Mus musculus: one gene and its partners. The protein of the gene in region 2 interacts with the protein of the main gene of each other region in a biochemical or structural test. Links are inferred from orthologs where the notes say so. Each region holds a gene or a part of one and is shown on either strand. Other genes may lie near its edges. The genes, in order: Dcun1d3, Cul2, Dcun1d4 and Dcun1d5.

Region 1 (7,474 bases), on a different chromosome or scaffold from region 2:
CAGTGACTGTGTGATAGCAGTAATAATAATGATTACAGAGGCGGACCCTTCATTGACTGCTTCTGTGCACCAGATGCATGGACCATCTCATTTCCTCCACTCAAGAGTCCTGAGGCGCAGTGGAATAAGCTGCAGACAGGTCTGGTTAATAGATGCCTTCACTGTGATGCACCCAACCTCTTGATAACTGCACTGTTTTCTCCCTTCCTAGGTAGCTTCTTGACCTCAGTGTGCTGCCATTTAGTTTCCTGGAACTCAATAATTATTTCAGAGAGCTATGTTTCTATACTGCTGTTATAACAATATACAATATAGCAAATAGAAAGTGGTATTCATTACTAATAATTGTGTTGTTTTTGTAAACTTGGCACTGGAATATCTAGATTGTGCAAAGGCTGTCAGCAGGTGGCAGTGAGAGGGAGTAAGGCACCTGGGAAGACACTGTCACTAACTGAGTGAAATTGCCTAGAAAGCTAGAGATCCTGTCTTTGCAAACCTATAGAGATGGATGCAAGATGACAGGAAAGCCTGCCTCAGGTTAGGAGCAGGGCATGGCTAGCAATTTACAGTTTTTACCAGGCACAGCTTGGTTTTATTGAGGATCAATCACAAGGAAACCCCTTCCTGTGGAGAGTCTGATTCTCCACATGTTGGGGCTTTGGAGCTTTTGAATATGGTCAGTAATGTGGTATGAGACTTTCTATGTTTTGAGACTGGGTTCACTATGTAGATCAAGTTGGTCTTGAACTCACAGAGATCCGCCTGTCTCTGCTTCCTAAGTGCTGGGATTAAACACATGCATCACTACGCCTGGCCTATTGTTATAATTTTTAAATTATTATTATTGGTGAGTGTGTGTATATGTGTGCACACAGACAGTATGATGTTCTTTGTAGTGGCTGATGGTTAAGATTTGATATTCTAAGGTTGCTGTATCTGTTCCTCACCTCAAGGCCCATTCCTCAGTGTATTGTCCCATGATGCTTTGACAGATGTGGGTTCAGTTATACAGGTCATGGTTTCTTGAACTAAACATTCCAGGTTCTGTTTGTTCTGTGATGTTGCATAAGTTTACTACATGCAGAGCCTCAGTTTTCCTGTCTTTAAATGGGGTTATGGTGAGGAGGGCACGTGTGCTAGTGTTCTTAAAGTGCTTAGTTAGCATAGAGTTTGGCCCTGTATCAAATGCCCAGTAATTGATGGTTGCTGTTGTTAGCTAACAGCCAGTGAGACTTTGAAAGACTGAAGGCTCTGCCAGAAGGGGAAATAAACAAGCAACCAAGGAGCAGTGCCCACTAGCAAAGAACATACTGACTTCTGACTTGAGACCACTGCTCAACCCCACCAGAATGGGAACCTTTTAAAGAAAGGAGCCATGATGGGAGAAAGCTGACCTTCTGTCATTGTGTGATTGATCATCTGTCCACATTGATTTTCCTCTTTCTCATCTGCTGAGCATGTTAAAAGCCTTCAGGTTTCAACTGGTTCCGCTGTATCAGGTCATCAAAAGATGCTTTTACATGGAGGCACAGCAGAGTAAATGAGATTTGGGCCTCTATGGGAGCCCCATCTGTTCTGCTCTTACCTGCAGGCCTTGGCGCCAGGCTTTGGAGGGAGCTGCTGTACAGAAGCATCTGTCCAGTGGGGGTGGGGTGAGCAGCCTGGGTAGGTGGGTCAGATGCAGGGCAGGAAATCCTCTTACCTCACCCGGGTGCTGGGCCTCCTGCAGCAGGATCTGAGCAGCAAACACTGGTGAGTCAGCCAGCCTGGGAATTAGAGTTGCCAGTCTGTGAGCATGTGGGGTTTGTGTAAGTTTGGGCCTTTTGTTTCTTTCAGCAATCCAGTCTTTAGAAACACAAATCTGGAAACCAGACCCTCCACATGCTGCAGTCTTTCTTGTTTAGAGAGAATTCTGCTCGAACAATTCTTCTCCAAGAATTAACCCTTTGCCTTTTGAGATTTGAATTGGTTTCACTTATGGCTTACTACATGCTCAGCGTATAACAGCCTGTGAGAAGCCATGCTTGGGTCTGTCACTTTTCACAGCGAAAGCACTTTTAAGAGTTTCTTTGTGTGTCTTGTTTTGGCTTAAGCAAATTGAAACTGCCTTTCTTTTGAGGGCATGTGTAGACATGTCTTTTGTTTCTGAGGGTGGAGAATAGGACACACCCTTATAGGAGTCTGCCTAACTACAGGAATGATTGTGGTTCTTTTTAGATGACTATACTCTCTGCTTCCTTTTAGAGAGAATTCCCTTTGAAGATAACTCCAGTTTATCCAGGCACTGTTTGGTGGAAGCTGTTTATTTTTTTATTTGTTTTTGTTTATTCAGCTTTTCTTAACAACTGCCCTTTGCCCTATCACCAGACTCTTAAGTGAGCTCTGACTTTGCACCCTGAAGAATCATGAAGGCTCCTTAGAAGTGAGAGGCCCAAGTCTGGCTGACACTGATTTTTATCTAGTGTCTGCTTTCTTTGCTACATTCTACATACTAACAGACAGTGGCTGCTATTGTTCTAACACTTAGCAGAAGTTTGCAAGTATTAAATCATAAATGGATTTTCTATTATAACAAAATAGTTGATGGTTAATAACAACTCATAAGTATGCAGTATTGAAAATTGCTTCTGCTTTTGTTCACACATTTTTAGCAGTTCATATAAAAACTTAGTTAAAATAGATATTGCTCAGTGTCAGTGTAGCCTTTTGATCCAGCAGTTTTATCTCTTAGAGATTGTATTGGGTGTGGAGACACACCTAGGTTGGGAAAGTACCTGGAGTACAGGCTCTATGTAGGTGGGTGGAACAGGGTGGAGCTAGGACGGTACACCTTTGTGCATCCAGAGATCCAGGCACACTGCACTTTGCTGTTTGTCTAGGCCCCTGCTTGTAGTTTTGACACTTCTTACTTCACCATTAGACCATTATGCGATTACAGGTGGCCTGGATATGGCCTCATCTCTATTCTACTAGAATCCAGCTTGACAGAGTACAGGTGAGGGGTTACTGTCAGGAGCATGAGTAACCCTAAAATAGCTACAGCATCTTGTTACTGAAGACTTGATGGAGGTTTCCTCATGGAGTCCTGCTTTCAGTTAATTTTCCACGCGTAGTGCAGGGTCTGTAAGGGGGCGGGGAGGGATGCTTGTGGTGAGGTGAGGTTCCTTTAACTCTCCTTGCTTCCATCCTTTACCATTATCAGAGACTCTGCTACCTCTGTATTGTTCTGCTCAATTAGTTGCCATGGCTACCAGGCCAAGGTCATTTACCCTCTAAGGTGTTCCTTATGTTGTGCTGAGAGTAAAAGTTTGTAGCAATCTTTGTTGAAATCTGAATGTGTAGGTATTAGGTATAGAACCAGATGTAAACTTGTGGCTTAACTCAGGTCCAGATAACTGGTTTTTTGGTCTGTTTTTTTTTTGTTGTTGTTGTTTTGTTTTGTTGTGGTTTTTCGAGACAGGGTTTCTCTGTATAGCTTTGGCTGTCCTGAAACTCACTCTGTAGACCAGACACAAGGGTAAGCATCCCACAGAGCTGACTTACAGGAGAGGTAATGGTGAGCTGGGATAGGGTTCTCTCCCCTGTCTCATTGTTAGCTCAGTGAAATAGAGTGTTAACTATTTTGTAATTTCCTTCCAGGTTGCCTGGCTCCTCTAACTGATGGCATGTTGAAGTACATGGGCCAGTGGCAGCGAGGGCATTTGATCCAGAGGGGTCCACTCTAGAGGCCAGGGTACTACCACCATGGGCCAGTGTGTCACCAAGTGCAAGAATCCTTCATCAACCTTGGGCAGCAAGAATGGAGACCGGGACCCCAGCAACAAGTCACACAGCAGGCGGGGGGCTAGCCACCGTGAGGAACAGGTGCCACCTTGTGGCAAACCAGCTGGGGATATTCTTGTCAATGGGACCAAGAAAGCAGAGGCTGCCACTGAGGCCTGCCAGCTGCCAACTTCTTCTGGAGATGCTGGGAGGGAGTCCAAGACCAATGCTGAGGAGTCTTCTTTGCAGAGGTTGGAAGAACTATTCAGGCGCTACAAGGATGAGCGGGAGGATGCAATTTTGGAGGAAGGCATGGAGCGCTTTTGCAATGACCTATGTGTTGATCCTACAGAATTTCGAGTGCTGCTCTTGGCCTGGAAGTTCCAGGCTGCTACCATGTGCAAATTCACCAGGTTAGTCACAGATGCTTTCATGTCACCAGGGGAGCAGAGGAGGAAAGTGTGACACTGGATAGTGGTACCAACTAGGATAGAACTGGGATGGCTTCAGTTATCAAGTAGCAGTTGCATAATTTGTCAAAGTTATGTATCCATATTGGGGTTGTTTGTTTGTGTATAAGAATATGTCAGGGTCATGGAAGACCATGGTTTTAAGAGTGCAGGGTTATGAATAAGAACTGACTTTATTTTATTTTTTTAAGACAAGGTCTCACTATATAGCCCTAGTGGCCAGGAACTGGATATGTAGAACAAGGTGGCCTCAGACTTCAGGTTCTGCCTCCCTGCCTCTTGAGTGCTGGGATTAAAGGAGTGAATGACTATACCTGGCCTGGCAGAAGGAACTTTAAAACACAGCTAATATATATGACCTGCTCAGTAGAGTAGTTGCCTCACCACCACAGTCCCTGAGATAATTAGTATGAAACTCTGTTACAAACTGCAAAGTGCTGAATACATGTTAAAAAGCACATATGCAGCTGGATGTGGTGATACCTGTCTGTAATCCCAACCCCCAGGAGGCTGAGACATAGGGGTAGAAAATTCAAGGTTAGTATGAGCTACATAGTGAGGTCCTATCTTATAAAACAACAGAAACAAACAAAAACAGTAAAAAAAAATTTTTTACTACAGTTTTGGTAGTAGTATGTAATATGTTAATGTGCATGTATACGTGCATATGTGTCATGCTTTAAATGTGAAGGGGCCAGAAGACAACTTGAGGGATTTGGCTTTCTTTACCATGTATGCTCTTGAGATCAAAATTAGGTTATCATTCTTGGTGGCAAGTATATTTACCTGCTGAGCCATCTTGCCATGCCCCAGAAGGCACAGTTATTGTTGTTGGGTTTTTTCTCCATTTTATTTTATTTTATTTTATTTTATTTTATTTTATGTATATAGGTGTCTTGCCCACATTGTATATTTCTTAGGTGCATGCCTGGTATCCTCAGAGGCAAAATAAAAGTGTGTTAAACCCCTGGAACTGGATTTATAGGCTGCTATGAGTTGCCATGTAGGTTGGGAGAATTAAACTGGGCCCTATCTATCTAGCCACCCATCTAACCACCCACCCACCCATCTATTCTCGAGGCAAGGTCTGACTCTACAGCCTTAGCTGACCTTAGTAGACAAGGCTGGCCTAGAACTCGAGATCCTGTCTCTGCCTTCTGAGGGCTGCAGGTTGGGAGGATTAGTTGCTGTTAACTGTGCTGTCTTGCCTCATCATATACTAAATCACTTTTACTTATTAATCATACCTTTTCCTACCTGTCACAGGAAGGAGTTTTTTGATGGCTGTAAAGCAATAAGTGCAGACAGCATTGATGGGATCTGTGCACGGTTCCCTAGCCTCTTAACAGAAGCCAAACAAGAAGATAAATTCAAGGATCTCTACCGGTTTACATTTCAGTTTGGCCTGGACTCTGAAGAAGGGCAGCGGTCACTGCATCGTGAAATAGCCATTGCCCTATGGAAACTAGTATTTACACAGAACAATCCTCCAGTATTGGACCAGTGGCTAAATTTCCTAACAGAGAACCCTTCGGGAATCAAGGGCATCTCCCGGGACACTTGGAACATGTTTCTTAACTTCACTCAGGTGATTGGCCCCGACCTCAGCAACTACAGTGAAGATGAGGCCTGGCCGAGTCTCTTTGATACCTTTGTGGAGTGGGAAATGGAGAGAAGGAAAAGAGAAGTGGAAGGGAGAGGTACACTCAGCTCAGGGCAAGAGGGCTTGTGTCCAGAAGAGCAGACTTAGCCGCTCTGTTCCAGGAGCAGCACTGAGGATCTGCCTGCTGCCCTGCAGCCAAATGAGGAATTGGACCTTTCTGGAAATTACTGAAGATCCGGATATTTTCTACTTTACACCTTTCTCTGCCTTGTATTTGAAAGGGCTCTAAAATGCTGTATCATGTTTTAGGCACTTTCTTCATTTTTTTTTTTTTTTGTTATTTTGGTTATTTCTTTTTTGGGGGTGGGAAATCCCCCAAAATATTTGAACCTGGCTACATGTTGTGTACCTTTTTTTGAAGCCTTCAGATAGAATAAGCCTGCCATTTCTTGCACAACTTGATAGGATTTGTTTTGTGGGGGAGGGGAGGGTGTAGCCCGGGTTGGGAGTGGGTTGTTAGGTTGAATTAACATTACAAAATGATGCAGTGCCAGACCTCAGTTTTGCATATTATTTTTCAGGGCAGGTCTGTACTGTGTGTAGTGCTGTTTACATGGTTGAATTTAGGTTGTAATAATTATTTTAAAAGATTTACACAGATATGAATATAGCAGTGTTAACTGTTAGCCACATTGCATTAATTTCCAGACAGTTTGGAGCTCTTGGAGAGCCAAGGCCAAGGCCAGTCAAGAGCATTTGCAGTCTGACACCCCACCCCGTCCCTTTAAGCTAATTTATCCAAAGCCCTGTCTCCCTCACTTCTTGCTCATTCCTTCTTTGACCTATTGCATTTCATATTTAACTTACCCATCATCATGCTGTACCTGTCAGTCAAGTGAGCAGTTTTGTTTTGTTTTGTTAGAACACATTGTACTGAAAACCACTTAAGCATTGAATGCAGAGAAAGCAGTGCTACCTCAGTTTTGCTGGAAGTAGACTTCTTTGATAGTTTTCTTTGATGTTTTTGTATTTTCATGTCATAAGTGGAAATACTTCTTTTTCTCCCCTTTTCATTTGCCTTGGAGCCAAAGTTTCCGTTCTGGGTGGTGAGAAAAGTGTGCCTGCCAGCCGACCTGAAAGAAAGCGGTGGCATGGAGCTCTGCTTCAAACTGTTTTTTCTCTAGTTTTGTTGAGTATCATTAGCTTACTTGTCTGGCAAGTGCAGAAGCCTGAGGCTGGCCTGAACTCTGCCAAACAAATTATCCACGTGTATTGAATCATTAAATTGTGTGCCCTCTCCCTCTTTGCTGCGCCCACGTTGTCACTTAACCCCTAGGAATTATTTATTGTCTTTTTGTTAATGTCAAGCTCGGTTGGGGTAACGTGGTGACTGTTTAGGTTTACATGACCCTCTTCTCTTTCCCTTACCCCAGACATGTATATATACATATATAAGATATGTATATATTTTACCTTTATAAAATATATATATATACACATATATGTATCTATATCCCTTTGTTTGTCTGCTAAAACTGGCCATGAAAGAGGGAGCTGCCTTCAATCTGTAGTTTAAGAAGATGCCAGGGAGCATCATAAACGGAGGCTATTGTATATTAATTTAGACTTTTTCACTAAA
Region 2 (7,474 bases):
TAACTAGAAATCGGTAGGCAGTGCTAAGGAAACTTTGGATAACAGGTATTCGAAAATATCTTACCCATCAGTCTGCTTTTCTAAACTGTCTACTATGTATAAAATGAATGGCTGCAAAAATGTATTGTCATTATAAAACTCAAAGAAATTCTTAAAGTGAATATTATTATCAGCATTATAAAGTTCCTTAATGATACCAGAAAGGGAGATGGAAGAAAGTGCATTAAAAAGTAGAATTAACACAGGAATTAACACTCTAAAGGAATACAATCACATAAATATCATTCAATGAGCAGTAAGGAATCATTCTTTACCTGTACAGAGATAATGCAACCATGTCAGCTTCCGTCCACTGAAATGCTGGCTATAAAACAATTCAAACTGTTGAAAGAGAGAGATGTCAAGCTATTTGAAGGTCCTGAAACTTCTTTATTATGATACTGTAAAGGTAAAAGCATCTTAACCCACCTAGTGAAAACCTTGTTCAGAACCTCTGTGCAGATCGTGACTAGCCCCCGGCTATGTGGGTGTGCTGGCACCATTGTGGTTCCTCTGCTGAGTCTGCAGCAGCTTGCTTGCTCTGGTTCTTGCACATAGAGCACTCTACCCAAGTGCACACTCATAGTCCCAGAGACATGCAAAGCTGACACAGGCTCACTTCAATCCAGGAGTCTGAGGCTATGCTGGGAAACAGCACTAAAAAGGGGCAGGCAGAGTAACTTGGGCACTCAACTGCCATGCAGGGCAGACACGGCTCTGAAATATTTCTCTTCTACAGCTTAAGTTGCTATGACATGTCAGTATGTTATTTATTCCATGTTATTTTTGTGTGTATGTATGTAAAGGGTAAAGTTAACAACACGGGCATGCCATCCTCAAGCATTTCTTTACATTATTTCGAAAGAGGGCTTCATTGAATCTGGAGCTTGCTCTCTGGGCTATACTGGCCAGTCATGAATCCCTGGTGTCCTTGCATTTTCACTGTGCACAGCACTGGGCACTAGAATCTAAACTCACATCCTCACAGTCCTCATGTTTGAGCTGCAGTCACCTCACCCCACCTCAGCCTCTGAGCCTCAGTCCTATCCCATTCCCAAATCAACACCTGCTAATTTTACTTCTTTGTATAAAATCAGAAATAATATCAATGGCAATATTAATCTGTATTAATACATTAACCTTATATTAATATATTTTGTTTAAAGACCAAATATACCATCACATACGTTTCAACATGAAAACCATACTCACATTTACCAGCACGTAGTTTCCCATAAATGACAGGCTAGCCCATGTACATGTGTAGTTAATACAAAGTGGGGTCTATGATATAACAATTGTGTAAACAATCACATGAACAAAGTTTTAGGGTTCAAGGTGTCTATCTACTGCCCTTTTGCTGATATTAGTACATTTAACTTTATAATTGCATGAACAAGAGTCTAAAGAGTCAGTACTTAACAATGCATACTCCAATTGCAAATGACATTTTGGATCACAGAACCCATAAGAAATGGCTTATAGATTGCTCACAACTCCAGTTCCAGGGGATCCCACAACCTCATCTGACTTCTGAGTTCCTGAGTTCAATTCCTAGCAACCATATGGTGGCTCATAACCATCTATAATGAGATCTGGTGCCCTCTTCTGGCCTGCAAGTATACAGGCAGGCAGAATGTTGTATACATAATAAATAAATGTTGAAAAAACTTCCTTAAAATTTATTTTTATCAAAGCTTAGGAATTAAAAAAAATTCCTTGGCTGGACTGGATGTATAAAAGACATTAGTCCTAATTACATTTGTGTTGGGGTAGAACCCAAAGTTTCTTCGTGAGTGACAGACTTAGTTTTACTTTAAAAAATGTATTTATGTATTTGCCCATTTATGTGCATATGCAGACTCTCAGACAACCTCAGACAGGTCAGTCTTTAGTCTTCTAGGATTTCTGTCCCACTTTAGAATCACTTCAAAATGCAGCTTTCACATATTATGCTTTCATATCTCAGTCTATACCTAACACTTGTCTCAATTACAGGAAAATTAAAATATTACCAGAACTAAATGAAGCCTAAAAATGGCTTCAAAGTTCAAATGGGAAAGTAGAAAGATTTGAAGCTTTCTCTTTTTTTCTAAAATAATACACATTTATTTACTTAACTATGTATTTGGAATGGTGGTATGTTGTTCATGCTAGGGCCACACATGAGCGTGAAAGGACGACTCATGGGAGCTGACTCTCTCCATCAATCTCGAGGGGTGTGAAGATTGAATCCAGTTTGTCAGGCTTCACCAAGCAAGTGCCATTACCCAACTGAGCCATCCATTGCCATTATCCCTAAACTTACATAAAATACCACATCCTATGAACTACAGGTGCTTACTAAGAGCTGATGAGGTTCCTGTGTATTACAAATAAACCCCAAACTGAAACACACACATCACACACACACACACACACACACACACACACACACACACACACACCACACACACACACACACATCACACACACACATCACACACACACACAAAGCATCACTACACACACACACACATCACACACACACACAAAGCATCACTACACACACACACACTACACACACACAGAGCATCACTACACACACACACACATACTACACACACACAATCACACACACAGAGCATCACTACCATGCCTTTGTTTACTGTTTGCTTCCCAGAACACTTACCATCTGTACACTTTTCTCTAGCTCTTGGGGAATTGCAAATGTAGATGAAGGAGCCTGAGTGAGAGGCCACGCACCAGCCTAAAAAGGAACAGTGAGATAAAACGTTCAACAGATATCTACCCCAAAAAACCCATTTCAATGGTGAGCTGCTGAGACACCTTTTCTCTTTCTTGGAATTCTGACAGTGCTATGGCCCATTTTATTCCAAGTCTGTAAAATGTGGTCCACAGCTCAAAAGCTGACTAGACGTTATCAGGCATCATTTGCTAACCTTCTATATTACATTGTCAAAATGATTCATAAATCTAAAAAAGAAAAATACTATCATACCTGAAGAACATATATTTGGAAACTAATCCCCAAGTCAATCACGGTGTCTTGGTTTCTGATGAAATTGTTGAACTTATTGTTCAAATCAGCGCTGACACTCATGTCTGTATACATTCGATGCAGCTTGCTGGTAAACTCATAACCACAGGCTTGCTGGAAAACAAGTTGCAAAGAATATAACCTAAACTGAGAATGACCAGCCAGGGATCAATTAGGAGACCAGAGGGTTTTATTTTATTTTAGTTGTAGTTTTTGTTTTTTTTTTTTTGTTATCAATACTGAACTTAAAGATCATCTTAAATCACTGGAAACCTCTGCCCCTTTGAATCTCATACTGACACCCAACACTGTACACAAATACACTCATGCCTGACCACTTACACAGCCTGCTGTATGTATACACATCAATGACTGCTGAAGTATACAGTCATTACATATAATGAGCATACTTGGCTGTTGGTACAAGATTTCTATGATATTATCTATCACACTAAAGATTTATGGTACCTTTAATTTATTGATCATGGCTTCTTCAGAATCCATAGACATAGACAACCCGTGAATTAGACGTTTTGCTAGCATTCTTGCATAGAACTGCAGGAAAATGGGAATGGTTACTTTTGTTGTGACTTGAAATTCAAAACAGAGTGAAGCTGGTAACTCTGATCTGAATGCTGTTCAGCTCACCTTCTGAAAGACGTCCTTGTCATCAATGTACTTGAAAACTGTGATGAAGCTAGTGAGCTTGTCCTCCACTTCATTTTCAGTCATCCCCTTCGCTGACTTCTTTAGCAAGTTGTCACAGTACTTAGCAAGCTCAAAGAGAAAGTAATAATACATCTTACAAAGGCCCTTTGGACAGACACTTCAAAGGCGGCAACACAAAGCCTCATAGGTTTGTCACTTAGAACAGATGTAAGAGCATAAACATGAAAACAAGCCGGTAAACGGTTACCATCGATGGGACAAAAGCAAAGCAAAAGTGGCTCAACAGATGTTGAAAGCTGTTACATCCTAAAGTTATACTTTAATATTATGAATGTAAAACATGCGTGATCAGCTAAGTTTTAAAAACATAAGACACTAGAACTAAGAAAAAAACCTAATCAGATAATGAATAGTATGCATGCCTTTTTAACAGGATTATCATCTTTATGAAATATTTTCTCCTTTGGTTAAAAAAAGGAACATTGTTTAATGCATTCTGAACGTAAATTTAAATATATATATAATGCGGACAATTTTCATATTCTGAAAATGAGTACACAAATTAATTTGCCATTCTAGTAACTTCCCTTTACAACTTCACATGAGATTACCTTCAAGCAACTAAACTTACCAGTTCAGGCGCTTTGCAAACAGACTTGGGTTCTCTGTAATTTACAACAGATGTAAGGGCCTAAACGAGAAAACAGCCCAGTGATTAGTTACCAGAAGGAGGCAAAAGTGGTGGCTGTGGATCTGATCTATGTCTATAATACCCACAGTTTAGCTATCTCTCTTTCTATCTCTGTATGTAATGTATAGGTGTTCACATAAAGAAGTATAAACATAAATGAAGGCAAGGTCTACCTTAGCTATTGTTCTTCAAAATCTTCAGAGTCTGTCATGAGACTTAGGGTGTAAGCTAGCTGGACAGCAAGCCCCATGATCCCAGCCTTCTCCAGCACTAGATTACACTATCACACCATTGTTTTGACATGGGTACTGGAGGTTGAGCTATCCCCAGCAACTCTCAAGGCCATGTGTTAAAAGGGATATTGGCGGCCCAGGGATGTGGGGCTTCTTTTCCTTCTTTCTGTGCTACTTTCTGTCACCATTAGGTGAACATCTTCATGTACTATGAGAAGCCCAAAGCAACATAATTAGTTAGGCAGAAACTTGTGAAACCCTGAGTTAAAAGAATTCCTTCTGCTTAGCTCTGTTCTGTTAAATTAGCAGGAAGATGACTATCTCACAAATCAAGAGTCAATTTCTTATGTCAAATATCAATTCAAATTCATGGTGTCTTTCAAACCAAGAATGAATACAGTCTAAATGTGGTATAGGTTAAACAGAAATATAGTCCTGCCACTGCCGGGGCTCTAACAAAGGACCAGAACTAAAGAAAATTAGAATTATGCACACCAGGTCACTAATAACTCAGAAAGACTGACATAAGACACTATAAGTTCATTTTACCACTTTAAAATTTAAGATTCCCAAATTTAAACTAGTTATTTAATGTACATTTCAGTGCTCAAGGTTCTCAAACTTGACTGCCTAGCAAAGATGCCCAACTGAAAACCACATCACAGGTTAAAGAAAATCCCATGTACAGATCACATGCATGGGTTATTTGTTTTAAAGTTACCTTATCTAAAGCACTCATAAAATGCTGATCACCATTCAAAACAGTGTTGATAAGTTGAACGAATTTACCATGTACTTCCAAAACTGATTCCACAAATAGTGTTGGCATCTAAAAACAAAATACAAAGTATAAATTCACATTTTAAGATTTTCAAGAACAAAACTTGAATAAAGAATATAGTTTATTTTTTTTATACTTATATACTCAAATTATACTTATACTCCTCCATATCCCCAACTCCATATCTCTGGTTACATTGGTCTTAAAAGTTTAAGACTTCTCTTTATCTATCAAATGGGACTGCCATTCAACAACAGCCTGACAGGTCCTCTGCCATGTAAAGGCACACATACTACTATGCTGGGTCACAGGGGGATCCCTAAATCCCAGGCCCAACTACACTAGGATGAATTCTGAGAAGGACGAGAAAGCCTGTGTGTGCCTCAGAATGAGGTCCTGGAGTTAGTTGGGTAGAATTAAGTTTTTGTTCAATGTCACTCAATACTTGGAATCTGCAAACCTAGCAATAAACTATGAACATGCCTAGTAACAACAGCAACAAATACATGGTCACTAAGTAGCAAAGGCCATTTCAGATAAATGAAGGTCAGGCAAGGTGAGGGTATTTCACTGTGGCATTTTGAACGGCAAGCATAGAGGCAGAGGAGGCTTTAAAAATCCCCCATGTACAAAGCAACATGATTGTGTACACACTGCAAATAGTTTCCTGTCAGAAGGTTAACAAATGCTACGTGGCAATCAGTACTGTGAGGAAGAGGCTGATCAATGGTTTTAATTCCAAGAAAAGCTCAGTAAATTCAAGATTTAAAATATTAGAATACAGGTGCCCTAGTTTTTCATGACAAATTATTTTATAGCCCATCAAAGTTAAAAAAAAAAAAACCCACAAACCCTATATACATCCCCCTAAGAGGAAGCATTCTAGCTCCCCTGTGCAACTCACATGTTCCTGAGTAAGGTTACTGGTCGCTCTGAGGCCCTCGTCATGGATATGTTTCTGCAGCTCCTCAATCATATGAGGTAAACCACTGGACACAGCACGGAGTAAGACGTACATATTTGCCATGTCTGAGAGGAAAAAGTTTATTAACTTCCCAAAGAACCTTATTATGTAATACATGCTTTTAAATGTACAACTTAAATGTACAGTATGCGGATAAAAGCCATCTGCCACTTGAATCCAAACACACAAACTCACTTACCAGCTGCTGTGCCATACTCCCCAAAAGAAGACAGATGTTGTTGCTGCTTTCTATGTAGTGGTGGTGGAGGAAAATCAAGAAAATACTCATATTCTTCCCCTTCTTTTTCACTCAAGTGCTACTATACATGTGTGTGCTACTGGTAACTACAGAGTATCTTAACGTACAAGTATTTTATACTGGACGATAAAGCAAATCCACACATTTCACAACTTTATTAGTTACTTGGAAACTAATGGGAAATTATATTGTAATTAAAAATATGAGCAAGAATATCTGTACTGGCTGGTTTTGTTTGTCAACTTGACACAAGCTGGAGTTATCTCAGAGAAAGGAGCCTCCCTTGAGGAAATGCCTCAGATCCAGCTATAAGAAATATTTTCAATTAGAGATCAAGGGTAGGAGGGCCTATTGTGGGTGGTGCCATCCTCGGGCTGGTAGTCTTAGGTTCTATAAGAAAGCAAGCCAGTAAGTAACATTTCTCCATGGCCTCTACTTTCTGATCCGCTTGAGTTCTAGTCCTGACTTCCTATGGTGACGAACAGCAATGTGGAAAATGTAAGCTGAATAAACCGTTTCCTCCCCACCTTGCTTCTTGGTCATGATGTTTTGTGCAGGAATAAAAACCCTAATATGTGTAGTAGAAACCTCTATTAAATGTGCTATGGTTGTGTCAATCTTATGGGCAGATCCTTCTAAGCAGAGAACCTAGCAGCAAGGTGAGAAGAGATGGCTCAGCAGTTAAGGACACTGGCTGCTCTTTCAGAAGCCACAGTCCTATTCCCAGAACCTATATGGTGGCTCATACCTTCACACAGACATATATATATATATATATATGCAGGCAAAACATCACAG
Region 3 (8,141 bases), on a different chromosome or scaffold from region 2:
CCTCCAGTAGCATTTCTCCTTCCTACTGATACAATGTAACCAGCCTCCAGTAGCTTCTTTCCTTCCTACTGATACAATGTAACCAGCCGCCAGTAGCTTCTTTCCTTCCTACTGACACAGTGAAACCAGCTGCCTCCCAATCCTGCACCTCACTCTCAAAGCGTATCCTCTCTGCTCTGCCAGAGTGTATCCTCGAACTGTAAGCCAGAATAAACCCTTTCTTCTTTAAGTTGCTGTGGTCAGCTACTTGATCACAGCAACAAGATAAGTATTGCATACACAGACTCTCCCTTCCACTTCCAAACAGAAAAAGATGGGAAGTATGTAAGGTTCCAACCAAGGTGATTAAAATTACTGCAGCTTCATTAACCAAAGGAACTAAATCAACTAACTAGCTTGGGTTTTCTATTGCCTTGACTAACTACAAAGCTAGGGCCATATACACAGCCTATTTCCAACACATGGAAGTACCCTGGTACAACCTCAAGTCTAAATGTCCCTGGGAATAAACACTTACCAAAGTCACCAGGCTATTAAGTACCAGGTCCTCAACCGACAGACTGCACTTTGCTCCTATGTCAGCAGAATTACTAGCTATTAATTAATAGCTACACTTATAAGGATGACCATGATGATAATTAAGATGAGAGCAATGCAAACATCAAAACAGGAAGAAGGAAGGAAGTTACGGGGAGGAGGGATACCATCAAGCATTAAGTAGGGGCCTTCTCTAAGCCAATGTGGAGAATAAAAAAAAGTCACTGTATACAAATCCCCAATAAGAAGAGGAGAGAGCTTTCGTCTTTGGCAGTTACAGACAAGACTGTGATGACTATACGGTTGTCAACTTGACTACATCTGGAATTAACTAAAACCCCCAAACTGAGTGGCACACTGGGGAGTGATTTTTGCTTAATTTTAAGTGGGAAGATCCACTTCTATTCTGGACCTTTGAGGTGGGAAGACACACCTCTAATTTAGGCCAAGCCTTCTGCTGGAATCCTAATATAAGGACATGGAAGAAGGAAGCTTTTGTTCTTTGCCTGCTTGCTCTTGCCTCAATACCAAGTCCATTCCTTCACTGGCATTAGAGCCTACTTCTTCAGGATTCCAGTACATACCAGCTGAAGCATCTAGCCTGAACAATTACTGGATTCTTGGACCTTCCATACATAAGACAGCCATTGTTGTATTAGCTAGACTACAGCTTATGTATATATGTGTGTATGTATAAGTCCCATGTATGTATGTATGTATGTGTGTATACACATATATACACATACATATGTAAGATTTATATGTATCTATACATATATACATACATATAGAGACAGATTCATTCTATAAGTTGATACTGAGAGGACCTTTATACAACTACCCCTACCAAATCCTTCCAATACAGAGTCAAAAATCTTCAATAAAACTTTCTGAACTATTTAAATGCATAGCTAAATCCACAAGAAAATATAAGACCTAGCCAAGGGCCAAAATGCAAAGGTCGAAAGACGAGTAGTACAGGCTGACAGTGCCTAGGGCTTTGGGGCTTATGGACTAGCTGGAGGACTGTGTGAGGAAGGGCACTTGTTCTTCGGGATGTGATGAGAACAAATGAAAGGAGAAGAAATGCAGACTGATGTTTTCTTTAGATCTTGAAGATCTAAAGAGCACATGCTCCCCCCCACCCCACCCCACCACAATCACTCGGCAACAGCAAATCCTGGATTAAATACTTTGTTGGAAAATGTCCATACTCTATACAAGACAGTTCTTAGAGATTTTACTGCAGGTGTAAGTCAAAACAGGATAGATATAAATTGTTTCCCTAAAACATATTCTCACAAGTTTCTCAGACCTTATTTCAAAAGCCATCCTGTAAGGTCTGGAGAATTAGGAGTGCTTATTGCTCTTGCAGAGGATCTGAGTTCCATTCCTAGCTCTCAGTTGAGTAGCTCACAAGCACCAGTTCTAGGGGACCCTTCATCTGCTCTCCATTGCATCTATATGCATGTACACATACACACACACACACACACACATCTGCTCTCCATTGCATCTATATGCATGTACACATACACACACACACACACACACACACACACATATATATATATATATATATATATACTTAAAATAGTAAAAATAAATTTAAAAAAACATTATCAAACACATAGACAAGTTTAGTACTGTCTTAACTGTGTCAAGTCGTTTCCAAATATTAAAACTCGCCCTCAATATGTTTACCGCTGGGTTATTAAAACACCCCTCCAATAACCATTGCGATTATGGATGTTTCATAGTATCCATTACACCACACAAAAATAATCTTATAGTCCCTACATTTGATTTAGGGTGATCACCAAGGAGAACTGGCAAAGGATGCCCACAAACTAGGAAGACCTGTAATAGTCCAAAGGGAAGGACTTTACAGCCTCATTCGCTTCACTTACATAAAAGTTAAGACATCACAGTTCCCCTTTGCTCACCTTTAGGATTTCATTGCAGGTTCTGGCATGAGACTACTTCAACCCCAAATTCCACTAAGCTGCCATTCTTGATTCGCTTCCAAAAGAAAAATCCCCTAACTCTTGGACAAACCAAGTAGCCCAAGAAATACCCAGTGCAGTTATCTGTATTTTCTTCACAAGGGATATTACGAATCTCTACTTAGTTTCCATACTTATGTAAGGCTATATACTTCACTCTAGACGTCCATACAATGAACACGCTCTAAATGTTCCATGGTAAACGTTGCTTTAAAACGAACGTGTGCAGGATGATTTGAGACTAAGCTTTCGCTCCCCAAGGCAGATGCAGGGGTAAATTATCTTGGAGAAAGGCCAGGGCTTGGCCTGGGCTTTCCCTCTGCGGTGGACACTGTCCCAAGGAACCCAGGCATCTCCCGGGAGAGAATGCATTGAGTCTCCGCGGCATAAAGCACGAGTTAGTCAAGCAAGGAGGGTCCAAGGGGCGCGCTGAATTCTGGGACTCGTTTCCACAGTTACCCACGTGCACCCAATCCAACCGCGGCCCAGGGCGGCTGGGACTACAAGACCCAGAATTCCACGAGACTGCCTTTCCCTTTACACCGGCTCGGGGAGCCAGACCCTAAAGGAAACCCCTAAAGCACCCTCCCGGTGCTTCGGGCGGAGGTAGCTTCTCGCACGCGCGTTGCTATGCCTCCAAAGCGGCCCTCCGTACAAGGTAACAGGTCTTGACGCATCAGCCTCTACACCTGATGGCCAGAAATTAGAGAACTGCGTCACACACTGCCAAACCTACGGACCGCCGGGGACCCCGACAACCTCTTACGCCAATTCCTCCACCCCGCTTCCAGGACCCCTGCGGGTCGAGTCAGCTCGCAGACAGCGGCCTCCCGGTCCTGTAACCCCAGCCCGCGCTGACCTCGCTCCCCGTTGCTCGCCGAACGCGGAGGCTACTGCCAGCCTCGGGACACCTCCCGGGTACCCGGCCCCGCCCCCTCTCCTCAGTGCACCCCGAGGCTCAATGGTGGTCCCCTCCTAGGCTGGAACCGGGCCTCTCCAGGGAGGAGGCGCCTCCCCCAATGGACAGTCCAACGCTCCCCACCCCGCCCCAAGAGCACCGTACCCGAAGATGACAGCCCTCCCAGTCCCCGCTTCTCCCCACCTACTCTTCCTCCTAACTCACTCCGCACACCCTCCCCGACCCCTGTCCCAGCCCCCAAACTGCACAGCAGTCCTATCCGCCATCCACTCCTCCGGGGACCGCCTGTCCCAACACCTGCCCCCCAAGCCCTCTCCCCACTCCCGACCGCCGTCCCGCACACCGGACTCCACAACTCTCCCATCCCACCGCGGCGTCTCCCACTCCATGGCCCCCGTTACATCACCCCCCATCCCCTCACCGGCCCGGCCGCTGCCCCAGCTCCCCACCCATTGTTCCCGCCCCCGCCCCCAGCCCTCCTTCCCATTGTCCCCGCCCCCTCTCCCCTCGCACTCCCCCGCCTTCCCCGGTAGACCGTACGGCTCGGGCCCCGCAAGCCTCACCCTGTACTCGGACCGCAGGCCCTCTCCCTGCCCGCTCGTACCACCCCCGACCCCAGCTGCCAGCGCCCGCCGCCGTCTCCACCTCCGTGCACCACCGACTCTCGGCCCCCGGCCTTCCAGAATGTCCCCCCTCCCCCAACCGCGGAAAGCCAGCCAGTCCCCACCCCCTCCCCGCCGCCCCTGCCCCCGCCCCAGCCGCCCGCAGCGTCACGGCCCTCGGACTCCAGGAGGGGTTCAACCCGCTCCCGGGCCAGGGACTCCAGCGCGATCGGAACCGGAGAAGTGGAGAAGGGAGCGCAGGAGCGGACGCGGTGTGCGGGCCCGCTGGCTCTGTGCTACTCACTGACAGCTGCAGCATCCGAGTGCATTTTCGGGCAGCTCACACCCGCCTGCCGCCCGGGCTCCCGCGCTCCACTCGCGGTCCCCCTACCGACTCCCCAAACCTTAGCTCGCAACAGAGGACCGCCGGCTTCTTCTCCGGCCCGCCCATCCCGCCCTTCTCATTGGCTAGACCCCAGCCGGGGGACCGCCCCTCTTCGGCTCTCATTTGACCGAAGAAGTGCTGGTTGCGCCGCCTGCAGCTGGCAAGGAGGCCCCGCCCCCTAGACTGCAACGTGATTGGCCCCGGCGTCTCGCCTCCGACCGCCCCTGGTGGAGGCCACTGTTCGGAGCCGCAGGTTGGACCCAACGGCTGTCAGTCATTCAGGGGTCCGAAAGCGCGTGGAGGGGCGAGACTGGGGAATTGGTCCACCTTGACCCTGAAGCCCCGCCCTGTGGCGGGCGGATCCTGGAGCGGGAGACCAACCGAGAGCCCAGCCGAGAACCTGGGTTAAGCATCCGAAACAAAGCAGCCTGAGGGACCTAGAGCCAAGCTCCAGCCCACAGGGACTGGTGTTCCCTGGGAGGCCATCGGCCAGATCCCGCTACTGCCCGCGCCCGGGTCCCGCCGGTTCTCCTCAATCGTTTCCCATTGCGGAAAATTAGAAGAAGAAAAATATCTCCGCTTTCCTCCCCTTTATGCCACAACCTTTCTGTCCTCAACTTTGGAAATGCGCCTCTTTTTCAGAGTCAATTATTCAGAGTCATGCGTTACTTGCGCCAAAGGTTTCGAATGCTTCAGGCATTGAACGTCAGACACCTCTGCGGTCCCCAGACAGCGAGAGAAAAACCTAGTGCCACATTAGGCTCTGGGGTCAGCCTGACACCAAGATAAGCCAGGTCCCCTGACTATAAAAGTCTAAGAAACATAAGTCGAACCTGGCCAAACCGCTGTTTAGCAGAGGGAAGCGTTAATGGGGTTGTGATTGTTAAGTGTCCTAAATACTGCTTTTGTTGTTTCTTGGAGTTTTTCAGTACTTGAAAACCAGTTCTCCACAATCACAGGTAATGCAATAACGCTGAGATGTGCGAGGGTGGGCGCCCCGCCCCCACCGCAAACACACACTCCATGTCCAAACCTCGCTTGCCCCAACCACAGCCTGGACAGCCTGTAGATTCCGCCACACGCACTGGATGATATGACCAAAGATAACAAAGGGGTCCTGCGTTAGGATTCTGAATTCTACAGCCCAGGCTCTTGAGTTGTAGAGTTCTGAAATCCGGACAAATGTTACAAGCGCAAAACAGCTTACAGTCCTTGTTATCTACATCACTGTGTTTGTTACTGTGATATGTTCCATCTCATCGCCCTCTATTTCTCTGTAATTAAATTGAATCCCAATAACGCAATCTTTCATATTTGTCATTCAAATGCATATGATTCACTTCATCAAATTGCAAAATATCAGAATTGCATCTGAAGACAAGAACTCTTCATAGAGCATTCTTTTGGGTCTCCTTAACAGGACAGAGTCTTAGCCAAGTCTCATAAACAAAGGAAGGTACTTGTAGGCTCCTGGGTTGGGAGCTTCTATATTTTTTTAAGTGCTTATTCTGGGCAAAGTCTTTTTGTGTTCATTATTCTGTTCCTGATTTCAGCCTAATATAGTAAGAACTACAGTTTATTCGTGTTTCTGAGACTTTCTTATGTATAATATTTGTTGTGTTTGAGTTTTGTTTCCCATATTATTTTGCACAGAAAAGAGGTTTACTTCTTGGTACTTGTAAATTAAAATAAGCCCGTGATTTATATTAGTTATTAATCTGCTATATTGATTTATCTGCAGCAAACTTTATGGTTGTGAGACTATTAAACCTAAAGGACCTGCTGCCAGTTCGCTTTCTCCCTGCTCTCAGCACTTCCTTGACACATAGTATCCAGGAAAAATAAATAAATAAATAAACAGAATTCTAACCTATGCTGGTTCTCAGCTGTTTCCACTAGGTTCAGTCTGACCAGTTTCAAGTAAAATACAGATTTACCCAGATCGGGGTAGGGGGATAGTGTGTAGGTTCCAAATAGTGGCCTCCACCAAGGACAGTCAGAGGCAAGGTGTCAGGGCCAATCACAGTCCGCTAGAGCTAGAGAACTGAGAGGAAGTACTCTTTCTTAGTCGGCTGAGCCTCACTACTGCACAAGTCTCATGAATAATAAAACAACTAAACGATGCTCTGTGAATATCATCCAGACATTTCAACCATCCATAAGAGTATAAATCTTCATGGTCAGGGAACTTGTTATGACTGTTTTCAGTCCCCCGGCACTTAGTGCAGTGCAGTGGCTTCCAACAGTGGACACTGATTCACTGTTCCTAAGAGTGAAGTGGGTGACGACTATTGGGGAATTTTATATCTGAAAGGAACCTCAGAGATTCCAAATCCAACTTCCTCATTATAAGAATATGAGACCGGGAGTTCAAAGGAATTAAGCATCTAATCCAAGTTATCGAACTACCCAAGGACAAAGCAGTATTTAAAAACTCGAGTTTCTGGCTCCTTGTCTACAACTCTCCATCACCACGCTGGTCTAATGAGAAAATCCAAGATTCCTGAGACAGTGCTCTCTCCAACTCCTTAAAAGTTCTACCACACTAATACAAATTCTATTCTTCATATTTGGAATATGGCCTTTTCAAGGAATCATTCAATAAATAATGTTATTTCCATTTTTTTTCTCATTCGATAACTTTCCCAAATAGCAAGGTCCCCCTGTAGAGATGTTTACTGAAATACCATCTTTTATATTTAAATCTGGGGGCAGCGGGTAGTGAATGTCTTGAGACTCAGGGGTGGGCAGATTTGAAGGGATAGCATTGCACTTGGTTATGGTTAAAACATTAACAATACGAACAAGTCACAAAGTGTATTGGGGTTCTCTAGAGTCACAGAACAGGAATGTCTATATTTTAGTGAGAATTATTGGTATGACTTGCAGTCTGCAGCCCAACTAAGCTAACAATGGGCAGCTCTTAATGGAAAGTCCAAGAATCTAATAGTTGTTCAGTCCCACAAGGCTAGGTGTTTCAGCTGGTCTTCTGTATAAGCTGGAATCCTGAAGAAGTTGGTTCCAACTGATGTGCTAGCAAGTAAGTGCACGCAGGCAGAGAGAATAAAAAAGGCTTCCTTCTTCCATTGTCTTTATGTAGGCCTCCAGATTAAAGGTCTCTACCACCATGCCTGAACCTAAGGTTTTCTTTAGTTGGAACTTGCTCTGTCTCGGGCTGATCTTGAACTCACAGATCTGTTTGCATCTGTCTCCTGGGATTAAAAGCATGTACTCCCTTGTCTGGGCCTAAGCTTTTCTCGGCCACTATGTCTCAAGATCCAGACCAAAAGCCTGTGTCTTCCTGCCTCAAGATCTGGATCACAGGCGTGCCCTCCATTTCTGGATATAGTTCATTCCAGATATAGGCAAGCTGACAATCAGGACCAGCCATCACTTGGAGTGTTCAGTGGAGCCTGACTTACCTATTTTGTTAGTTGAGAATTTGATGGAAGTCTAGTGAGAGAGAGACAATAGCACAGGTTTGGGGGTTTAAACATTTCCTCCCAATATCACAAATCACAGTATGTCTGCTTGTCCCATGTACACTAGGCTTGGGATACAGAATTGAAAACAGCATAGCCCTGGAGACTTACATAGGCTTGAACCTGCTTAGATTAGTAGATAAATATGTCCCTGGTAAGGCTTGAAGTAAGAAAGGAAAACATAGCGTGTTGGAATTCATGTAACCTTTG
Region 4 (8,274 bases), on a different chromosome or scaffold from region 2:
AAGATCTTTACAAAAGCCACCAAATTTGTTTTTTAAAAAAAATGTTCTTACTGTAATGAGGTCATTCCCTTTAACCATTCTTCCTTGGTAAAAAATCCCATGCTTTCAGCCTCCAATTTCCATGCTAAAACTAACATAATAATCTGGAAAGAACAGAACATAAGGGATAGGAAAAGTCATCAGAGACAATCATGGCTACAGTCATAATGGAGAACAATTTCAAACAATTATTTCCAACTGTCCACTAAACTCTACAGCTTCTGTATTGTTAACTACAAAACAACTGCCTTAAGACAGTGTTAATGAAGGTAGACCATTACTCTATTACAAACTGTATTTGTATCAAGAAACACCTTGAACTATTTAGGCTGATTTAAAAAAATAAGTAGATGTGAAGAAAAAACTTCATATATTAAAGCCTTAATTTTTAAAATTAATGAAATATTATAATCCGCTTATAGTTCATTCTACTTAGAAATAAAACATACGTTTTCAGGTTCAACACCAATGTCTTCACAAAATTTTTCCATTCCTTCTGGCCCTACAACTTCATCAGGACCTTCAAAGACAAAAAGTAATTTATATATTTTATTACTATTATGAACATAAAATAAACTATTACACTAAAGGCATCCATGAAAATATAATACTTTTACAAATAAGTGAATTTGAGTTTTAGGGCAGCTTTGAAAAGTATAAATATTTGCCAAAATCTTAAAAATCTTTACTCCTTAAATGCTATAATACAATATTAATTAATGATTTCTTTCTTTTTTTTGTTTCTTTTTTTTTTGGGGGGGGTGCAATCTTCTTACTATGTAGCCTTTGCTGGCCTGAAATTTACAGAAATTCATTTGCTTCTGCTTTTGAGTGCTGGGATTAAAAGTGTGAGCTACCACAGCCATTGTATTAAGGAAATATTTTAAAAAGGATTACAAAAAACCTATTCCACTGGTATAATTCAGTAGTTTGCAAAAAGAACAAAAACTGAACCAACATGAACTTACTCATTAACAAAACCAAAAACCTACTGAATAAAGTTTCTGACAATTAATGCTATAAGCACATGAAGGTTGATGTATTGTTTTTCTTTAAACCAGATCACTAAAAGTCAGTGCAATTCCTAAACATTTGCTATCAGATTCCAAAAATAGAGTAATTGTACTGCTTTTAAATCACCTACTCACTGCTTAGAAATCACCTAAAACAAATGTCACGATATGAAATATGACATAAATTTATCACTACAAAAATGTCTTGAAAAAATATTCAAATTCCAACATTGTCCAAAAGACACTTCCTGTGTCTAAATTTCTAGTACTTCCACATATTACCCATATGAGCCTTCACAAGCTATAATTTCCTTGCCTATACACATGCTGTTTACAGTGGTCTCCACAGGAACCACATCTGAAGTCAGGGATCATGCTCTGATTTTTGTTATTATTATGTCCCAAGTATTAGAACAGTGTTGGAGTCACACAAAAGTGTTCCATAAATATTCACCAAATGACTCACTAAATGACAGAAGATAACCTCAAGTGTACTTTCAGTAGAAGTGACAATCAGTTAACATTTGTATAGTCAATGTATCATTTCTAGCATGTTAATCTAAGCTTCAGTTTTCACTCATAAAATGAGGATAACATCTCTTGACAGATGGTTACAGGGAAAATGATATACTTATCACAATCCATGGAACAATGATAGCAATTATTACCTTTACTGTTAAAAATGTTAAGAGTAGAAAATAAATATTTAACTCAATCTTAAAATATCCAGAGAAGTTCTAATAAGAGCTAATACAATCAAGCATTCAAGGGGAAAAGATATATATATATACACACACACATACAAAATGACTATCTTTATGGTATCTAGTAACATTTATAAAGTGAAATAAGATGAAAACCTCTTGATTCGATATAATGTATATGAAAAACTGTCATTTTTAATAATGGGTCAACATTTTAAATAGAGGTCAGAAAAAAAAAAAGAATTCTCTACATTTAATTTGGGTTAGTGGTTGTCTTGGGATACCAGTAATAGCATTTATTTCCCCTGATCTAGAAAGATCACTCTGCTGATCCCAATAGCAAAGTTGTTGCCCCCTTTACATCCTAGTCTAGCCTTCCGTACAGTTAGCTGAAACTTGACAAGATGGCACCACTTAAAACTATAACATGGCTAGTACAAATATAAGACGACTATTACTACGTGTTTTAGCTTTAAGCAAATACTTTTGAGAATAATAATGATAAAAGAAGAAAAAAAATAAAAGTAGGAAAGCAGGTAAGAGAGAAAAAAGTTGTCAGACATGTTCATGGCACTAAATTCTAAGCCTTTAGCCTTGACACTAATCCCAGTACACATAACAGGTCAGCAATAATAAAACACAGCTTTTAAATGGGCATGACTGGTATCTTGCTCCATGAATTTCATTACCTGCATACTCATAAAACCAAGCCAGGCACTTCTTTCTTGAAAAATCTTCCTCTCCACTGATGAGTCTAGCAGGAGGCTGGGATCTGCAATAGCTTAGAAAACACACAAATGCCTAAGACTTACTACGACTCAACGCTTAGTGATAAAGTAGCTTCAACAAGAATTGCTTCCATGTAAATGAGACAAATGGTTTTTAAGTTAGCATTATGAGGAAAGGAGCTATGTATTAGCAATAAGGACCTGTACTCTATGTGTAAGAATTTCTAACCAATGAAATCTAAATGCTTCTTTGCTTGCTACAGGATTCCATAACTAGAAACTAAAATTATTTCCTTAGATTTCAAGATAATAAAGAAGTACATTCTAAGTCTCAACCCAAGACTAGGCTAGACAGCTCTCCCTAGACTGCTCATGCTGGGCTTGCTCTCTACCACTAAGTTACATACCTTATGGAAGGCCTGAAGCCTTACTTCCATTCTGCTACTGATGTGGATTAAAATCCCTGTTATAATTTAGGCTGAATCACCTGAAGTCAAATGATACTGCTCAGCCAGCTGTTTTAACTGACTTAATTTAAATATCTTAGATATGATTCTCCAAGAGCTAATACAGTTAAGAAAAATGTATGCCAAAGGGCATAATGAAAACTCTATTTTATACATCACCCAAAAAATATTACCTAGACTCTTTTGCTAAAACACAACAAGGGGAGAAGAACAAAGCAATCAATTACAAAAAAGATTAGGATGAAGCAAGTCACCTTCATAGTTTAAGCAGTCCATTCTTCACTGCATCTCTCCTTAAAGGGAAATCTCCTTTGTCTAGTGCAGCCTGTCTTTTTTTTTTAATTAGATATTTTCTTCATTTACATTTCAAATGCTATCCCAAAAGTCCCCTATACCCCCCCCCCCCCAGGCCTGCTCCCCAACCCACACACTCCCACTTCTTGGCCCTGGCTTTACCTGTACTAAGGCATATAAAGTTTGTTAGACCAAAGGGCCTCTCTTTCCAGTGATGGCCAACTACGCCATCTTCTGCTACCTATGCAGTTAGAGACATAGGTTCTGGGGGTACTGATTAGTTGATATTGTTGTTCCAGGCTGTCTTGTTGTAATGGTAGTATTTGTCACTTTAAGTGTCGACCATTAATACAAAAACAACTCAAAGTGTATGGGAAGAAGCCCACTTCTCAAAGCTAAATCGCAATGACTTTCTGAGGAATGAATCTGTGATGATTGAGTATATGCCACAAAGCGAGTAAAGGGCTCTAACTTACAGTTCTGCTTTGTTTTCTTTTCCCCTAAGAGAACATGGAGCACAATAGCTTGCTAACGCCTAAAAGGAGGTTGAGAGCTACCAGCGTCTTAATGCCAGAAAACAAAAACCACAAGGGCCTTTTCCAATTAAGTGTACGGAACTGGTACAGGTGAAGTGGAGGCATTGGTGCGTCCAGAAGCCTAGGCTCCAGCGATTTAAAAGGCCTCCTGCTGGGATCGTCCAGGTTAGGCCACTTTAAATGCTAACTCGGGAGACCAATTATAGCAAAGGCTTTCTTTCCATCATTCCCAAGGCAGCTGTCAAAACTCTTCAAGCTCTGCTCCTTTTTTCACACTCTGACATTTAACAATGTGGGGACCAAGCCAATTCTGCTCGATTTAGTGTGACACAAGGACGCCGTGAATCTTGGCAGATCCGCGCTCACTTCTCGGTTGGGAAATTTGATGGAGAATGCATACGTACGGTCGTCTGTTTCCTACCCTCTGGGCACGCAGACAACAAAGTGGGACGAATCTCAGAGCTTGTCCAAGTACGACAGAGAGCACGTACAGGCGAACACGCGGTTCGGTCCCGCGCGGAGCGGAGACTGGGCGCCTCACCGACCGCCTCGCCTGAGAGGGCTCGCCCCTCTCCTCCCGGCTAGCGGCCTGTCCGGCCCCGGGGGAAGGAGAGAGCCAGCGGGGTGGGGACAGGCAGTACCTGGGGATTTTACACTTTTTGAGGCCCGCGTCTTCCGCGACCGCCGCTGCCACTCCGGGAGCTTTTCTCTTCTTCTTCACTGGCATCTTCCGCCTTCCCCGGCAAGGTAGACAGGGCGGCCGGGGAGGGGTATCGCGCTCCGCCGCAGGCCCCGCAGCGCCGGCTCCCGCCTGCCGGGGACCGCAGCGGAGGCCCGAGGCGCGACCCCGCCCCGGGTCTCCTCTTTAGGGGCGGTTCCGGGCAGCGCAGCGCTAAGGCCGGCGGTGTCGCGGCTCGGGCTTTTCCAGGAGCAGCGAACGCCGACAGCGCGGCACCTACAGTAGCAGCGAAGAGCAGGCGGCTTAGCCTGACCCGGAAGCGGATGGCTCTGGACCGGAAGTGACGTAGAAAGGAAGCTCGCAGGGCCTGGAGCGGTCTCTCTACTTTGGGATTTTTTGTCTCTGCAGGTGGAGCCTGAATCTCCGGAGATTTTCTGGCGGGTTTCCAGCGGGAAGTCCTTTCTAGAAATCATAAACGCTCCACAGCTGGCGAGCGAAGTAATCTGGTGAGGAGCCATGCGTGAGTGTGCCCACTCCTGACGTGCAACCGCTCCAGTTTTTTCGGGTGTTCTTGGTGGGCCTGAGATCAACTTCTCGCGCTCCTTGTCCTTTTCTCCCTCATGCTCAGGGTCAGTTTATGGCTTCCTCCTGTGCTGAGGCAACGCCTCCATGTTTTACTTCTGAGGAACTCTCCTCTTGGATAAGAGACTGGGAAACGGACTGACTTATTACAGAGGATTTGGGGAACTGTTCTAATGGGCTGCTCTCAAGAAACAGTAATCACGTCACTTCTAATGGAAATACTGCTTATAAGAAAGGTTTGCTAGGTAAAATTATCTCATAGAAGATTCTTAGTGAATGAAGTCCATGTTTGTAACCCAACTGTGACAGAAGACTGTTTCTTTAAATTCTATCCCTGTGGTTCTGTGACTGCATCGTGGGACCCTAATCTAGTCAAGGAGAAAGAAAAAAACCGGTTGTTGTAATGAGTCCTGGATACATAATATGCCCTGGAATTCACAAGTTTCCTGAGAGAGGACACTTCAATGTTTGGTGCATATAGTTAATGTTTTTTTAACAGTGAACATAATGTTCAAACCTATAACCCATTCGACTCTATTATAAACAATGCACGAAACATTGTTTTTACATGAAAATTATAAAATGTAAGCTCTAAAACAGAACTCCCTACAGGAAGTAGACAACTGAAAGATGAAGGGTTTTTTTTTTGTTTGTTTGTTTTATATATGTATTTATTGTGGGGGCACTTGTGTGCCAGTGCTGGGATGACAACTTGAAAGTTCATTTTCTCCATCAATCTTGTCACTCTTGAGGTGGAACTCAGGTTGTGAGACTTGGGAAGGGACATTATGTCTGTGTACAGAAAAGCACCTAGTTATGTGATTTAATTTTTTCTGCTGCTCGTGATAGTTCTTGATTTTCTATATAGTAAATAATGAGAAGCTATGAGGGTGCTGAGTTCTTTGTTATGTGGTCTAATTTTCTTTGACTAAGTCACAAGAAGGAAAGGAAAGGAAGTAGTATTAAAACAAAAGGGTATTCTGGTTTAGATCCTAAGGTACTCATCAACTTTATGAAGAAAAATCTTAAAAATGCATTTTAGCCGTCTGTTAGTAGAGTGGCACAACATAAACAGATTAAGCACACAAGGCTGAAACAGGTCTATTCATTTGACAGTTTGATGATTTGCATATTTCTTAGGTTTAAGGATTGTAGAATGAAGAAATGGAAAACAGAACTTTTAAAATAGTTATATCTGAATTAATGTAGCCAAAAATAGTCCCAGAGATGTGCTAAGTATATATATATATATATATATATATATATATATATATTCATATTCAGTATAGTTTATATTTTTCCTTACAGCTTTAAAAATAGGACTTTTCTACACTTGTCAAAAATAAGCAAGCACTGGAGGCACAAAAGAATTTATGGGTTGCCCATGTGATTGTTGTACTGAATCCATTTGTTTTCCTTTCCAAAAGTTACTGTTGTTTTTTCAAACACTGTAAGTCAAAATTTTATGAGTTATTTCCATAACCATAAACCCAGAGAATTAGTTGTCAAATCAGGACTTTGTTTTTGACATTTCAAGACAGCACTCAGGAACTAATATTGAAGAGCAATACAGAGATACACACTAGGTAACACCTGCTCCTTGTTCTACTCATCCTATAGCAGTGTACTGGACCACAGCCATTGTATTGGCCTTGTGACTGGATTTCTGTGGGGCAGACTGACATTGAGTGTCATCATCACAATGATACCTATGAAATGATAACAGTGAATCCTGTGCTAGTGGTTAAAGGTTCTTTCCTGAATTGATATATCATTCCTGTTCAAGTCCTGAGACTACCTGAAGTCCCTAGTAAAGAAATGTATTATATAGAACCAAGCAGAGAGCAGCACTGCTGCAATATGATATTTTACTGAATTTTGCTCAAGGTGTTGAGAAAAATGTGTTCATAGAACAGATTTAAAGGGACAATAAGGAAAAAACTCAGGAGTGGTGGTATATGACTTCATTCACCCCAGGTTGGACACCAATGACAGATCAAAGACACAGTTCCACCCAAGTCTAGCTTAATGAGCCAAAGGGTTTATTGAAGTCACTTATAGAACATAGGTGACCGAAAGGACTGTTCCACAGCTGCTTTCCTTGTAGGCAAGAGCCACCTCACCCCAGCAGCGTCGGGTTCCCTATGTAGCCTGGGAGAGGCTTGTGAGTGGTAAATTTCCTGGGCTTCCTGGGGCTTGTAACTCTCACTCTTCCTCAGAGGAGGAAGTGTTTCAATTCAGAGGAAAGAACTACATAATAACTGTTTGCTTCTTAAACTGACAATGTGCCAGATGGAAATTTCCAAGTTCAGTTGTAGTTTCTCACAAGTCTACAATTTCTCACCCTTTCCTCTCAATGGCTTCTAAAACAGCTGTGGAGTCTGTCATCCCAGTTCTTGGGAAGTGAAGAAGGGAGACTGAAGCTTAAAGCCAGCCAATGATACTTTGGGAGACCATGTTGTGTTGCTGTGGGTTTTTTGGTTTTTTTTTTTGTTTGTTTGTTTTTTCTTTCAAGGAGGGAGGAGGAAAGCTAACGAGAAACTTACAAGGCAGGTAATCAGAAGACTTCCAGGGGCTGTGTGCAAGTTGTTCAGGAGCTCCAGGGATGCAGCTTATGGAAGCCATCAACAATGCCATTGAGTAACCTTTGTTCCTGCAAGTGACCTGTCATCCACTATTGGTTCACCAAGATGGAGTTGGTTCTTCAGTCTGTTAATCAGTGCTTTATTTGGGTTTATGGATTGTTGTTCACATCTCTTCCAGAAAAGTTACCCATTAGACTGTCTTAAAAATCAACAAAACAAAACAGGAGACTATTTACTACAACCACTGCCACTATTACCACCAAACACATATTGGCTCACAAATTCTATGAATGAACTATACTAATATAATGCAGGAATAATCAGAGAAATGGTTTGGGAATGACAATTTTAATCATTTTAGTTTTCCTAAAAACATAAATTTTATTTCATTTAAAAACGTATACATTATTTATTTGTCTGCCATGGCATATATGTGGAGATCAGAAGGTAGTGTGGGGGAGTTGGTTCTTTCTAACTTTCCTACTATGTGTGTTCTAGGAATTGAACTCAGTTTGGCAGTTTTGGTGGCACCTTTATCTGCTGAGCTATCTCAATGGCCATTAAAAAAAATCTAATGTCATTTTTAAAGTTCCTGTGAACATTAGAAAAAATGAAATTTATAAAACAGTGAAGTACAAGAAGAAAGA

The links.
Region 1: of the proteins of Cul2 (region 2) and Dcun1d3, one has a biochemical effect on the other in vitro, tested with the Homo sapiens proteins (2 studies listed by BioGRID, with this or other methods). The link is inferred for Mus musculus from reciprocal best matches to the Homo sapiens genes CUL2 and DCUN1D3.
Region 3: of the proteins of Cul2 (region 2) and Dcun1d4, one has a biochemical effect on the other in vitro, tested with the Homo sapiens proteins (2 studies listed by BioGRID, with this or other methods). The link is inferred for Mus musculus from reciprocal best matches to the Homo sapiens genes CUL2 and DCUN1D4.
Region 4: of the proteins of Cul2 (region 2) and Dcun1d5, one has a biochemical effect on the other in vitro, tested with the Homo sapiens proteins (2 studies listed by BioGRID, with this or other methods). The link is inferred for Mus musculus from reciprocal best matches to the Homo sapiens genes CUL2 and DCUN1D5.

The regions. Positions count from the first base shown.
Region 1 is NC_000073.6:119,856,081-119,863,554, reverse strand, and holds part of Dcun1d3 (DCN1-like protein 3), read left to right. Parts: intron 1-1,394; exon of another isoform or gene 1,395-1,490; intron 1,491-1,585; coding exon of another isoform or gene 1,586-1,766; intron 1,767-3,639; 5' UTR 3,640-3,744; coding exon 3,745-4,175; intron 4,176-5,498; coding exon 5,499-5,982; 3' UTR 5,983-6,661; coding exon of another isoform or gene 6,662-6,968; 3' UTR 6,969-7,474. Other genes in the region: Rexo5 (RNA exonuclease 5), read right to left, coding at 6,662-6,968. UniProt on the Homo sapiens protein: Contributes to the neddylation of all cullins by transferring NEDD8 from N-terminally acetylated NEDD8-conjugating E2s enzyme to different cullin C-terminal domain-RBX complexes and may play a role in the cell cycle progression by regulating the SCF ubiquitin E3 ligase complex, after UV damage.
Region 2 is NC_000084.6:3,422,477-3,429,950, reverse strand, and holds part of Cul2 (cullin-2), read right to left. Parts: intron 6,483-7,474; coding exon 6,358-6,482; intron 5,502-6,357; coding exon 5,394-5,501; intron 4,440-5,393; coding exon 4,380-4,439; intron 3,857-4,379; coding exon 3,728-3,856; intron 3,635-3,727; coding exon 3,548-3,634; intron 3,194-3,547; coding exon 3,041-3,193; intron 2,789-3,040; coding exon 2,711-2,788; intron 382-2,710; coding exon 315-381; intron 1-314.
Region 3 is NC_000071.6:73,487,419-73,495,559, reverse strand, and holds the start of Dcun1d4 (DCN1-like protein 4), read right to left. Parts: upstream 4,535-8,141; 5' UTR 4,394-4,534; coding exon 4,369-4,393; intron 4,130-4,368; exon of another isoform or gene 4,026-4,129; intron 3,903-4,025; exon of another isoform or gene 3,884-3,902; intron 3,378-3,883; exon of another isoform or gene 2,484-3,377; intron 1-2,483. UniProt on the Homo sapiens protein: Contributes to the neddylation of all cullins by transferring NEDD8 from N-terminally acetylated NEDD8-conjugating E2s enzyme to different cullin C-terminal domain-RBX complexes which are necessary for the activation of cullin-RING E3 ubiquitin ligases (CRLs).
Region 4 is NC_000075.6:7,181,031-7,189,304, reverse strand, and holds the start of Dcun1d5 (DCN1-like protein 5), read right to left. Parts: upstream 4,801-8,274; 5' UTR 4,509-4,800; coding exon 4,423-4,508; coding exon of another isoform or gene 4,186-4,422; intron 2,538-4,185; coding exon 2,446-2,537; intron 560-2,445; coding exon 489-559; intron 144-488; coding exon 52-143; intron 1-51. UniProt on the Homo sapiens protein: Contributes to the neddylation of all cullins by transferring NEDD8 from N-terminally acetylated NEDD8-conjugating E2s enzyme to different cullin C-terminal domain-RBX complexes which is necessary for the activation of cullin-RING E3 ubiquitin ligases (CRLs).